2 linked regions of the Mus musculus genome follow. The protein of the gene in region 2 interacts with the protein of the main gene of each other region in a pairwise test. Links are inferred from orthologs where the notes say so. Each region holds a gene or a part of one and is shown on either strand. Other genes may lie near its edges.

The links.
Region 1: the proteins of Sumo1 (region 2) and Tnfrsf1a interact in a two-hybrid assay, tested with the Homo sapiens proteins (2 studies listed by BioGRID). The link is inferred for Mus musculus from reciprocal best matches to the Homo sapiens genes SUMO1 and TNFRSF1A.

What each region holds. Positions count from the first base shown.
Region 1 is NC_000072.6:125,347,021-125,353,740, forward strand, and holds the start of Tnfrsf1a (tumor necrosis factor receptor superfamily member 1A precursor), read left to right. Parts: upstream 1-2,702; 5' UTR 2,703-3,003; coding exon 3,004-3,042; intron 3,043-6,720.
Region 2 is NC_000067.6:59,667,114-59,673,851, reverse strand, and holds the start of Sumo1 (small ubiquitin-related modifier 1), read left to right. Parts: upstream 1-3,017; 5' UTR 3,018-3,160; coding exon 3,161-3,172; intron 3,173-6,738. UniProt on the Homo sapiens protein: Ubiquitin-like protein that can be covalently attached to proteins as a monomer or a lysine-linked polymer.

The sequences.
Region 1 (6,720 bases), on a different chromosome or scaffold from region 2:
CCATGGGGAAAGGGGAGATAGGGGAGGGAGAGAGAAAGAGAAGGGGGCATGTGCACAGGGAGAGGAGGAGGAGGAGGAGGAGCAGGAGGCGGGGAGTCCAAAATGTCTGGATTATATAGGGAGGAACCACTGTGGGAAGGGCAGTCCAGCTCCTGGACTGGAAGGTTTAGGGTTGGGGCAGGGTATTCCAGATAGAGACTGAGGGATGCTGGGAAAACCTGTAAGCCAGGTCTGCTTTTGTATGCAAAATATGCATCTCAGGGCCTGGCAGTGGTGGCTCACGCCTTTAATTCTAGCACTTGAGAGGGAAAGACTGGCAGATTTCTGAGTTCGAGGCCAGCCTGGTCTACAGAGTGAATTCCAGAACAGCCAGAGAAACCATGTCTCGAATAAACAAAACAAAACAAAAAAACCAACCAACCAAACAAACAAACAAACAACACAAGGCACCTCAGTCCCTTGTCCCAGGTCTGGAAACCAAACACCATCTTTTCAGTTATTTTTTATTTTAAGATTTACTATTTTTATTTTATACGTATGGCTCTTTGCCTGCATGCATCTCTGTATACCACATGCATACCTGAGGCCAGGAGAGGGTGTCTGATCCCTTGGAACTGGAATTAGTGACAATTATAAGCTGCTATGTGGGTGCTGGGAACCCAACCCTGAACCTTTGCAAGAGCAACAAGTACTTTTAACTACTGAGCCATCTCTCCGGCCGATGCCTTTTCTACTCTTACTCTTACTCATATCTCCTCTGTAAAACTAGCTGGCTTTTCATGTCCTCAAATTCACCTGCTTTTACGGTCTTAAACCGAGTTTTATGGAGCATGCTAGTACCCTGTTGTCTCAAAGCTTCAAAGGTGCTAAGAAAAATCAGCGTTTATCCTAAGCCCTGAAGGAAAGTCCCCTTTTGTTCCAACTTCTAAGTAATAATGGCTTTGGCAGTTTGCACAGATAGACCATTAAAAGTTCCTTGTAATATTAAGCATGGGACCTTGAAGAGTTGTTAATTATTATTTTCAAATTATTGATATTGTAGGATTCTTAACATGTGGCAAACACTTCTAATATTAATATGAATCTTACCACCAAACTAGCCTTGAGAAATGTGCTAGTGTGTTTTGTGTCTATTTGTGTGTGTGTGTGTGTATGTGTGTGTGTGTGTGTGTGTGTGTGTGTGCTGGGGATAAACTTAAGGCCTCATCTATGCTGGGGAAGCCCCACCTCCACCCCCGACCACATACCCACACACACCATTTCTTTTTCCTGGCTTGCTCCCATTGAAAACTGGCCAGTCTGATAGAGGGGGGTGAGCTTCCAGCAGCAGGGACACCTCCAGCTGGTCTTCCGCTCTGCCTTCAGGGTCACAGAGGAGAGGAGACAGCAGGGTTAGGATACTGGAGGTTGGAAGTCAGGGTAGCTCACAGGGAGAAGGGCCAGGAGCTCTGGTTCCAAGTCCCCAAGCCCTATGCCCCTATTCCTGGGTTTTCCCTCCAAGTCTCAAAGTCTCAGCTGCTTTTAAAGGACCGCAGGTTGGTTGAACTGGCATGCATAAAGAAGGTCATTGAGTCTCAAGGGCACTCGAGTGAATAGTGTCCGGGTGTTACAGGGTTCCATTGCACTGAAGACCTGCCCAAATGGGGATGGCAGGAGGCAGCCATCCCTAGTAAGGGATGCTATCAGAAGGTAAGGTCTTACTCAAAAGGACAGAGAGAACTGTGGGCCTTGCAGTAGGAGCTCGGCTGGCATCCTGATTCTCCGAGATCAGCCTCCCAGTGTGCAGAGTCCCGTGGCTTTTTCCTCACCCCTAAAGCTACAGACTGTGGTATAACTATCTTTGAGGTCAGTCCCAACGGATGCATCAGGATATCTAGAGCTGGGTGTGGTGGTGCACACCTGTAGTCTCAGCAGGTAGGAGGTGGGAGGATGAGAAGTACAAGGCCAGCCTCAGCTAGACAGTGAGTTTGAGGCCAGCCGGCTTGGGCTAAATGAAACCCTATTTCACACAGGTTGGAAAGGGGGCCCTGGGAGCCCTTTACAGAAGCCTGAATTCTCATGGCTTCTCTTTGCTATGTCAGGGCAGGCACTTTTCACTCCAAATTAACAACTGGGGAGACAACCAAGGCTTAGGAGAGGGTGCTGCCTGACACCCCCTCACCCGTGCCCCACCGTTGGTGACCGAGCCATGGTGGGCAGCTGAGGGACTTGTCTGGAAGACACAGATGAGAGTCAGTGGGAGTGACCTTGGGTCAGGACCCAGGCAGGGTAGAAAAGAACATTTGATTTCCCTCCCGGTTTGGGCTGACTGGGTAAACGTCCAAGAAAGTGCGATTAGAGGGAACTCAGAGGGAGGGAGAGCGCGAAGCAAAGGAGTTCTCGGCGGGCGAGCATCAGATATTGCCCTCCCCCTAATAACTCCCGCCTGCCGTCCCGTGAGATAGGTGGGCTGGCTTCCTTCCGTGAAATTGACAACAGGCTTAGAGGGGTTAGTCCACCGGTCTAAGCTCACCCACTTCAAAAGCAAAGGAGTCCGAACTGGAATTCTGTGGACTCTCAAGCTCTTAAGTGGTGTTAAGTGGGTTTGGGGCGCCAAGCTACGGGACCCGGGCTACAAAGCGTTAAAGAACCTTGGCCCTCTCCTCACTCCTCCTAGTTCCCTCCCTCCTCCTCCCTCGCCTCTCCCCAGGCTCTTCCGGTCCCGCTCTTGCAACACCACCCCCGCCACTCTCCCTTCCCCTCCTACCTTCTCTCTCCCCTCAGCTTAAATTTTCTCCGAGTTTTCCGAACTCTGGCTCATGATCGGGCCTACTGGGTGCGAGGTCCTGGAGGACCGTACCCTGATCTCTATCTGCCTCTGACTTTCAGCTTCTCGAACTCGAGGCCCAGGCTGCCATCGCCCGGGCCACCTGGTCCGATCATCTTACTTCATTCACGAGCGTTGTCAATTGCTGCCCTGTCCCCAGCCCCAATGGGGGAGTGAGAGGCCACTGCCGGCCGGACATGGGTCTCCCCACCGTGCCTGGCCTGCTGCTGTCACTGGTGAGATGGGAGACTGGAGGGGAGGGTGGGTTGCTAGCGAGGCGCCGGGCAGGAGTGGGCTTGTACTAGGGGTAGAGATGGGGGCAGGGGCTTCTGTGCTTTAGTTTGACGCCAGGTTTGCTGTGCCTCACCTGGGGCTGCCCTGAGATGTGGAAGGGAGAAATCTGAGAGGGAGAGAATCTGGCAAGCCAAGCTGGCAAGCCTGGGCCCCTGACAGTCAAGGTCCTGGCCCGTGTTGGGCTGTGGTCAGGCCAGCTGCTCGGCCAGTGGAGTTAGACGGAGAAGCCTTCTTTCTCTGGCCGAGGTTGAACAGCGTGGGGCAGGGTGTTGGAAGACTGGGTGCTAGGAGAACCGCTTTGGCGGGACGAGTTTGGGAAAGCGTGCTTGGGAGTGGACCCGAAACTGGACAAAGCTGGGCAGCCTTCCGGTCCCAGACTTCTCCCTGAGACAGCCTCTGACCTTCTGCCGCCTCCATTTCTGCTTCCAGACAAGAGGTCCCTCCTGGCGTGACCCTCCTTAAGTAGCTAATACCTCTTTATCTAGGCCATGTATCCTCCTGCTCCCTCCCCACAGACCCAAAAGTCAGTCTCACGGTTTCCAATTCCACAGTTCCAATTGGGGAAGTTGGTAGCAGCTTGTTTTCGTCACTGGAAAATGTACTTTTCTCTGGCCTCGGCCTAGTGTTCATGTTCTCTTGATTTCTGTGTGTCCATAATTATTCTGTGTAGATCCTGGGGGCTCCCTGGCTGTCTGGGTGGGCTGTACCATCGGCGCAGTGTTCTCTGGGTCCTGCCTCTCCCTGGCCCAGCGTTATCCCTGAGACCTGCCTTTTTCTCCCTCCCCTTTCACTCCTCATTCTCTTCTGGTCAGTCTCCAGAGCCTCCTTGCGGGGGTGGGGTGGGGGGGTGGGGGTGGCTCCTTTGTGTCTATTCCCTTCCCTTTCTCTACACACCATTCTAAAGCAGTGGTCCTAGAACCCTGCCTGGGTGTCACCTCCCTTCTCCTGGTCCTGTCCTGTCTCCCAGTCTCTCCTGGGAGACTTGTCAAGGCTGCCCCTCTGGCTGTTCTCCAACTCCCCCACCCACTTAATTCTTTTCTCTTTAGGGGTAGATCACCTGGATTTAGGGCTCAGCCCAGCACCCTTACCCTCATGAACGCAGGCATGTGATGTGACTCCCCCGCTTTTTGTTTCTTTTATTTCCAAAATGTCTACAATGATCAGTACCTCATAGTTGTTATTAAGATTGAGTAGATGGATTTGTGTTAAATATTTATTCATTTCCTTCCCTGCTAGGTCCAATTCAGATTAGGTGAATGATCCCAAAGGGGAGTAAGAAGTATGCCACAAACAGAAAGGACTCAGCTTGGCTTCTCTCTTCTCATCTCTAGCAGTGATACTCGTCACTACTCACGTCACTACTCATTGTGACGGTAGATGTCACAATAACTGTCAGAGTGCAGTGGCCCAGCTAGGTAGAGGAGAGAGGCTGAGCCAGTTGTGGAGGCCCAGGTGAGGGTGGGGGCACCGTGAACAGAAGCAGATCCTGAAGACAAGGCACACGGAAGGCTACTGAAGTCTACATGGGGCTGGCCACTGCCTTATCAGTACAGAGCACAGTGCCTGTGAGGTGTTCAGGTAGGACGAGGTGCTGAGGTCATGAGGCAGTGATGGCCGTGGCAGGGATGTGGCAAGGCCAAGAAGACTTTGCTATTTTTAAAAAGTTTCAGTACAGGAGTGGAAATGACTTTAGAATACTCTGGAGGAAAAGACGTTCCAAGGCCTTGGTGATGTACTATCCCAGAGGCAGAACTGGGGGAGGAGGGTGGGCTATATGCCAACTGTCTTCTTGCTTAATGGCCTTTGCCTGTCTGCTGGGCTGAGCTTGCCTGCATAGACCCTAAGGCTCATAGTGTGTTATCATCTTTGGCTCATGGAGAGCTCTTGAAACTGTGAGCTATGTCCCATCCCCAGCACCTATCCAGGCCCTGAAAAAGAAACCTTGACCGTTGACTAATGGCTTAATCAATTCAGGAACAAGAGATTGGTCAGATGGGAACAAGGCGGGTGTTGCATAGAAAGGAGGACTTGGAACTGGTGTGCAGAAGCCAGGAGGAGGAAGAACAGAGGAGTTGGGCGCCTGGGTTGGGGGAATGGAGAGGTGGGACTTTGAAGTCACAGAAGCTGAACATCTCAGCTCGGGGTGGAGTGGCCATGTTGAGAAATGTGACAGAGAGAGAAGGGCACTCTGGCGTTTGTGAAAAAGAACCTTGAGCCAGTCACCTTGGGGCATGCCTGTTATCCTGGAACTTGGGAGATGGAGGCCAGTGCTCAGATCGAGGCCCAGTTTTGGCTATATAGGGAGCTGGAGGCCAGCCTGGATGACTGAGACTGTGTCTTAAAAACACCAAAAAGAAATAAAGAGTCATGCTTAAGGACCTAGGTGGGGGCCTGTTTTCCTCTTTCCCTCCCTCTCTCCCTCCCTTCCTCCCTCCCTCCCTCCCTCCTCCCTCCCCTTCCTCCTTTGCTATCCACCAAGCAGTCTGGCCAGACTGTGTTCCAAAGAACAGTGAGTTTCTCAGATGTATGTGCTCATGGAAGGATTTATCCATGGAAATGATGTTTGAAGCCAGGCCCTGGAGGTGCAGAGGAAGATTCACACCCAGGTGGTACAAGTTGAAGCCTGAATGTAGATAAGAAACTATGTAGGTAGCCTCAGCCCCTGCAAAGGTTTGAGGCAGGCACATCACTTGAACCAGAAGGTTCGTGGCAGCCTGAGCCACATAGTGAAGCCCTGAGACACCACTGTGGAGTAGGAAGGAGAAAGGCAGTTGTAAAAACCAGGGCTCCGGGTGTGGGGTAAAGGGTGGAGAGGTTCCAGAAGGACTGACTGATGAGTCTTAGGGCTGTTGCAGAGTTTGCAGCATTGGTACCAAGAAGTCGGTGGTGTGACATCTAGGCAAGGAGCTTGGTGAGCTCAGCTGGGGGCAGGTTAAAGTAGGTCACTGGCTGGCTAAGTGGAAGTGTGGTTGTGCTGTCTGGAGCAGCCCTTCTCAGCCTTTCTTCCAGCTAATTCCAGCTGCATGGCTCGTCAGCTGGACTCTGCAGGAGATGAGCAAATGTGGCAGAATTGTCACCAGGGACATGTGCACGAGTGTGCCCGTGTGTGGGGAAGGGGATGCACAGCTTCTAAAATACCTCCCAGAGGCAGAGTGTGTTTGAGGCAGGGGGATGCTGCTTCCTTCCATCCGGCTCCCTGACTGGAAGGCACCTCAGTCCCTCAGGTCTGCAGGCCTGGCTCTGGGTGATGTGACCAAGACATGCTCTGATCTCTTAACTCAGAGGGTTTGTGGTCTGTCTGGGGAGATTGTATCTACTCATTTGAAATAACTATAGCTTCTGATAAGAGCCCAGAGTAGATATGGATAGTTCGTGTTATTCAACCAGAACAGGCGGCTAGGTATCCGAGGAGCTTGGGTGGGGAGACATGAATCATCGACGGGGGGCTTCGTGGGTGGAAGGTAGGATTGCGGCAGCGTGGCAGCGCTCTCTGAGGAGGTCACACCGAAGAGCTCCTCACCACCGTAGGTCTTGACATTAAGTGGAACACAGTTTAACCTAATGTGCACGCTGATGTGGGGCTTAGTGAGTGGGTCCCCAAAAGGTGGCTGGGTCAAGTT
Region 2 (6,738 bases):
GAGTCACACTAACCCTTTTCTTTCTGTAAGTCAGTTATTTTGGGTGCGTGTTACAGCAATGTACATCTGTCATTCAGCAAAGCAGTAAATTCAGTAATTCAGTAAGGAGGAGCTGTCACTCAGTCAATGTTAACTTCATTCACCCTGATATGCCAGTGGCTTCCAAATCTCTTTCTCTTTCTTAGAATATGAAAACTTGTTACTACTGTGTTTCTATTATAAAAACTTACAGTCTTGGTCTTTCCTTCTTGCTTTTGTACACGGCCAAAAGAGACACATTGGTTACTTTAATACTCTCAAAGCAGAATCCAGGAATATCACCAACTGCATAACCTCTCTGAACCTCTCTGACCAACGCCAGCAACTAGAACATAACTGTTTTCCTCACTGGACACAAAAGCTGAGACCATCTTGCTGTTCCTGATCAGCTGGACCCTGACATACTTCCTCATGGCTGAATTAGGCTCTTTGGCTTCAACTTCTACTTTGTCCAGTAGAATCCTCTTCACATGAGAAGCGCCTCCAAAGGGGCACCCTTCAGGGCTGTGCCCAGACAGGCTTTTGGTATTGTTTAGCTAGCCACTCAGGTCCTGTCCATGACTGTGGAGCTTTGGCAGTACAAAGGCCACTATCCCACTTGGCCATCTTGCCAGTGCCACAGGCCAGAATGAAAGAGCCCAGATCTCTAATATCAAGCCTATTTTCTCTTAGTACTCAGCACCATAACCAATTGCTTCCCTGACATTACACCTTAGATGACTCTGTGGATCATACTCAAAGAATAATCTTTCTTTTGAAATATATTATTTTCTGGCCAGGTATAGTGTTGCACCCCTTTAATTCCAGCACTTAAAAAGCAGAGGCAGGTGGATCTCTGTGAGTTCAAGGCCAGCCTAGTCTACAAAGTGAGTTCCAGGACAATCAGGGCTATTATATAGAGAAACCCTGTCTTGAAAAACATTAAATATGTGTGTGTGTATGTATATATTACATATGTACATATCATATGTATATATTATAATTATGTGTGATACATGTGTATATATGAATATTACATATATATTCTAATCATACTTACATACATTGTGCTGGCTGGTTTTGTGTGTCAATTCGACACAATCTCGAGTCATCAGAGAGGAAGGAGTCATAATTGAGGAAATATCTTGATGAGATCCAGCTTTTTTTCTCAATTAGTGATCAATGGGTGAGGCTCAGCCCATTGTGAGTGATACCATACAAGGCTGGTAGTCCTGGGTTCCAAAAGAAAGCTGGCTGAGGAGTAAACCAGTAAGCAGCACCCTCCATGGCCTCTGCACCAGCTCCTGCCTCCAGGTTCCCACATGCTTGAGTTCCTGTCCTGTAAGCCAAATAATCTCTTTCCTCCTCAATGTGCAAAGGCACATCGTGTTTCTTTCCAGCAATAAAAAAACCTAAAACAGGGCTGGTGAGATGGCTCAGTGGGTAAGAGCACTGACTGCTCTTCCGAAGGTCCTGAGTTCAAATCCCAGCAACCACATGGCAGCTCACAACCATCTGTAATGAGATCTAATACCCTATTCTGGAGCATTTGAAGACAGCTACAGTGTACTTACAAATAATAATAAATAAGTCTTTGAGTCAGAGTGAGCAGGGACTGAGAGAGCAGGGTTGACTGGAGTGAGCGGAGCTGACTGGAGCAAGCAGAGATCCTAAATTCAATTCCCAACAACCACATGAAGGCTTGCAACCATCTGCAACATCTACAGTGTACTCATATACATAAAATAAATAAATAAATCTTAAAAAAAAAACCCTAAAACAGTCTTACATAAACACCGTTGAAACATTTTAATTTTGTATATGCAGTGAAATAGGGATTTAAATTCTTTCTCCTTTCGCATGTGAATGTTCAGTATTTTCATTAGTAATTATATTGTACCTACTAATTTTTAATTTTGTATGGGTGTTTTTGTCTGAATGTGTTTATGAACCGCATTCAGGCTTTGGCTTGGTGCTGAAAAAAGTATCTGATTCTTGGGACTAGAGTTACAGGCAGTTTTGAATGCATGCATGGGTGCTGGGACTCAGACTTGAGTCCTCTGGAAGAGTAGCCAGTGCTCTTTGACTACTGGGTCATTTATAGTTGGCTCATTACTATTTACAGAAAAGATTATTTTACTAATGTCTTGTTCTGTGAAGGGTTTTTGATTTAAGTTTTCATTTTTCCCCCTTTACTTATTATAACCTTAATCCTCCTTGAATGCTTGTGCAAGGTCACTGTATTCAAAGGAAGCAGTTTAGGTCTTTCTATGACACAAGGCAACTAGTTTATGCGTTGGAAGGCGCTCCTGCCTACAACTTCAAAACTTTCAGTAGCATTTTAGTTGTCTGTAGCCACCAAGACTTTGTTCTAGCTGGGGGTGTGGTGGCACTTGGGAGGCAGAGGCAAGAGGATCTCTACGAGTTGGAGGCCAGTCTGGTTGACATTGCAATGTTCTATAATAGCCAAGGCTATTAGTGAGACCCTGCCTCAAAACACAAGAACAAAAGATGTGTCCTGAAGGGTCGTCTTTTTGTGCCCCCTCATCTCCCCCGCCCCCAACAGGGTTCTATGTCCTGTCCTGGAACTCACTTTGTAGATGAAGATGGCCACGAACTCACAGAGATCCGGTAGCCTCTGCCTCTATCACCCGGAGTCACGAATGTGGCAACAGCAAGCATGAGGGGCCTATAAAAATACTATACGGGTAATTCACTATATTCAGTGAGGGTTGGTCCGGGCCTCAGAAGCGCGCAAGTCGTCCCACCGGGAGGAGCCTAAGCAGTCAGTTTGACCCCAGACATTCGGCCTGCAGGCAAAGCGCTGGTCTCCCTGAGGGCTGCGGCAGCGGGCCTGATTCTCCCTCCCTCCGAAGTCCTAGCAGTTCTCTTGCTCCAGGCAAGTAGTTTACAACCTGGAGGATTTTAGCCCCCGGCCTTCCTTACGGCGTTTTCCCGCTTCCTTTTCCCGTCTTCGCTAACTCGCCTCTGCGCGCAGCGGAAGTGACGCAAGACGTAGAGGAAGTCCCTGCAGCCGCGGTGTTGTGCTGTAGAGAAGGGACGGATTTGTAAACCTCAGAGTGAGGTTCTGCCTGCCGGAGGCCGCAGTGGTGCGGAGACCCCCGGGTGAATCCACGTCACCATGTCTGACCAGGTACCGGGCCGGGGCCTTAGGGCTCAGGGCCGTCGGCCGCGGGCTGGGGCCCTGGACTGAGGCGCGGGGGAGGGGGCGGCTGGAGAAGGGGGCTGCCCGTGGGGAGGGGGCCGCGAGGGACGCGGGGCGCCTGGCGGAGTCGGGCCAGGCCGCCTGGGACCCCGGGGCTCTGGGTTCCACGCGCCCTCCGCGCCCCTCTCCGAGGCCCCTACCCCCGCGCCACCCGGCGCCGGGGCTCTCTCGACGGCGCCCAGGTTTCTCGCGGGCTCGCAGGGGGCCCAGGCCCGCTCCCTTGTCCCCGAGAGCAAGCTGAGGGGAAAACGACCGTTTCCCTTCGGACGACGGATGGCAGAAACCAGGCCCTAGGCCCAGTTATGTAACGGGAGGGAAATCCCCGACTGGGAGGCTAGGTGGCCCTGAAAAGCAGCTCGACTCCACTTTGGGTTCTTGGTCCCGGAGAGTGGGGGGCGGCCGGGGAGCCGTGTCTGAGGTGACTGGGAGCCCAGAGGACGCTGCTTTTCCGTTGTGTTTGCCTGGAGGGTCCGTCCATCTCTGCACACCTCAGTCTTTTTTTTTTTTTTTTCCTTCCGGGGGTGCGGAACGGTCCGCTCTTTCGCTGTACTTTCCATTTCTTACTCGGGATTGGTCCATCAACTCTCCAGTTCTCAGAGCGCTCAGAATAACCGAGAAACAGCAAACTGTGTATGGAGTGCCACCACCAACAAGCCATTTCGTCTGGGCTTTAACCAGCAGATGCTTGGCACTTTAAAAAAAAATATAGCACGTTTTTTGTTCTTTGATAATCAGATGACGCATTTAGATTATATGCACCCCCAAACCTCTCTTCCAGAAGTTTCTGAACTAATTTTCGAAGAAATAGAGAAAAAAAAAGTTATCCGTGTTGTACAATTGCAGAATATTTGCAGAAAGCTGTCAATTAGTAGTAAAACAGTGTGTCTCGGTTTTGGAATCAAGGATTTGCATGGTATTTGCCTTCAAATAGGAGTGACTCCTTGCCACCTAAATTTTTCTTCATCCTATTTTAGTTACTACCTTTGTGGCTAGTTTTTATATACATAAGGTTTTGGTCTGACTTTGCTTTGGTTTGCTCAGATGACTTAATTTTCAGAGTATTTTTTTTTTAACTTTTTCTTCTTTTGTGATAATTATTCAGTAAACTTTTTCATTCAACTTCACAATGTAGTTGGACTTTTTTAAAAAAAAAATTTGTTGTTGTTGTTTGAGACACGGATTTTCTGTGTAGCCTTGGCTTTCTAGGAACACTCTGTAGACCAGGCTGGCCTCCAATTTATAGAGATCGGCCTGTTTCTGTCTCCTGAGTGCTGGGATAAAAGGCTTGTGCCACCACAGACTGGCCAGGGTGGTTCTATTTTTATAGCCTATCTACACTGTAGACTAATTGTGGCATGGATTTACTTATTAATAATCTGAATTAATCCTCTTTTGGGATAGAAATGACTTTATGAATAATTTGTTTATGACAGTTGTTTACTTAGTTACCAGCTCAGAAAGATCAGCTGTAAATGCTTAAGTCCTGGAACTCTGTAGACCAGGCTGGCCTTGAACTCAGAAATCCCCCACTACCTCCCAAGTGCTGGGATTAAAGGCGTTGCCACCACGCCTGGCCTTTGTTTTTTCTTTTCTTTCTTTCTTTTTTTTTTTTTTTTTTTTCTTTTTTTTTTGGGTTAATGCTTAAGTTTCATCAGCCTTCTATTTTGGAAGAGCTAGAAAGCATGTTAGCCTGAAGAGAGGGCAACACACAGAAAGAGTTCTAAGTTTTAGGATTAGTTTTGCTCTAGTTTGAACTCACATTATATAAGGATATGGAGAAAGAAAGGAGGACCCAAGGGCACACACAGGGTTTCAGGGGATCGCAAAGTCACACTGTTGCTTGCTGTAGCACTCACCTCACTGGTCACCGGGGTTATTAGGTGTTGGACCTAGGGCCTCCCACATGTGCTTGCCAGGCAAGTGCTACAGCCTCATTTTTTCTTTTACTTTGTTTCACTAAGTTGCCTAGGTTGGACTGTAGCACAGCTTGCCTTTGAACTTGAACCTGGACTTCTCTCAGCCTTGCAGAGTAGCTGGGATTACAGAGTTATACTGTCACGCCTAGATGGTGTGTGTGTATGTATGTGTGTGTGTCTGTTTTTCTCATTCATGGATATTCAGTGAAGTTTTTAAGAAACATGACAGAAAAATGGAGCAAATCTTTTTTGTAGCCTTACAGCTTCTCACAGTTTCTTCTGTGTCTATCTCCTGAGTGCTGGGATTAAAGATGTCTACCACCACACCTGGCAAAACAAGTCTTTTTAATTGAGCTACACATTAAAGCAATTTGCATATGAAATAGTGCTGCTACTCTTAGAAATTTTGTCTTTAAAAAAAGTAATAAAAATGTATGCTAACGTTTTTTAGGGGTTATTTATTGATTCAAGTTAAGGGTTTCTCTGTAGCCTTAGTTGTCCTGGAACTTGCTCTATAGATCAGCTTGTCCTCAGATCTGCCGGCCTCTTACTCCCAGAATGTATATACCACCATGGCTCAGTTGATAGGTTTTTATTTTTTTTAATTTATTGTATATATGAGTACATTGTAGCTGTGTTCAGACACAACAGAAGAAGACATCAGATTTCATTACAGAGGGGTATGAGCCACCATGTGGTTGCTGGAATTAGAACTCAGGACCTCTGTAGAGCCGTCAGTGCTGAAAGTGGGTCCTATATTAGTCAAATCCCAAAGGTCACCCCAGATTCATGGAAAGACCTACCTCATTTCTAAATAGGAGTTAAAAAGAAGTTGAAGTTATTGTTAGTCTTCTACATGACTTGTATTTTTGCTGCTGTGATAGCATTAGTTTTTACAGTGTTCTTTATAGCTTGTTATTAATTTCTGCTGGTCTTGGTAACAGCTTGAGTTTGCAGGAAAATAAATGGTTGTATATTAAAATGTTTATCATTCATATTATAGAACATATTAAACTAAAGCAGTTTACTGTCTAGTTTGTGTTGAATGCCTTAAGTATTCTAGGAGAGGAGTGTTATATATTTGGTCTTTTTTTTTTTTTTTTTTTTTTTTTTTGAGACAGGGTTTCTCTGTATAGCCCTGGCGGTCCTGGAACTCACTTTGTAGACCAGGCTGGCCTCAAACTCAGAAATTCACCTGCTTCTTCTGCCTCCCCAGTGCTGGGATTAAAGGCATGCACCACCACGCCCGGCTATATTTGGTCATCTTGATTGAGATATTGCTAGTGAATATTGCAAACCCATTATAATGAAGCAGTTCAATTATAACAACTATTTTATAATATGTTGAAACAGTAGGATAATTCTGCTTAGAGTATTCACAGTTGAGTAGTTGGAAATTCAAAACTGTAAAACTTCTTTTTGAGACAGGATCTCTAACCCTGACTATTCTGGAACTTCCTATTATGTAGACCAGGATGGTCTCTGACTCCTGGGATTAAAGGTATATACCACCACACTCTGCAAGTAAACCATTTTTCAAATTGTGATACTCCTATATAGTTAGTTATATTAGCTCTG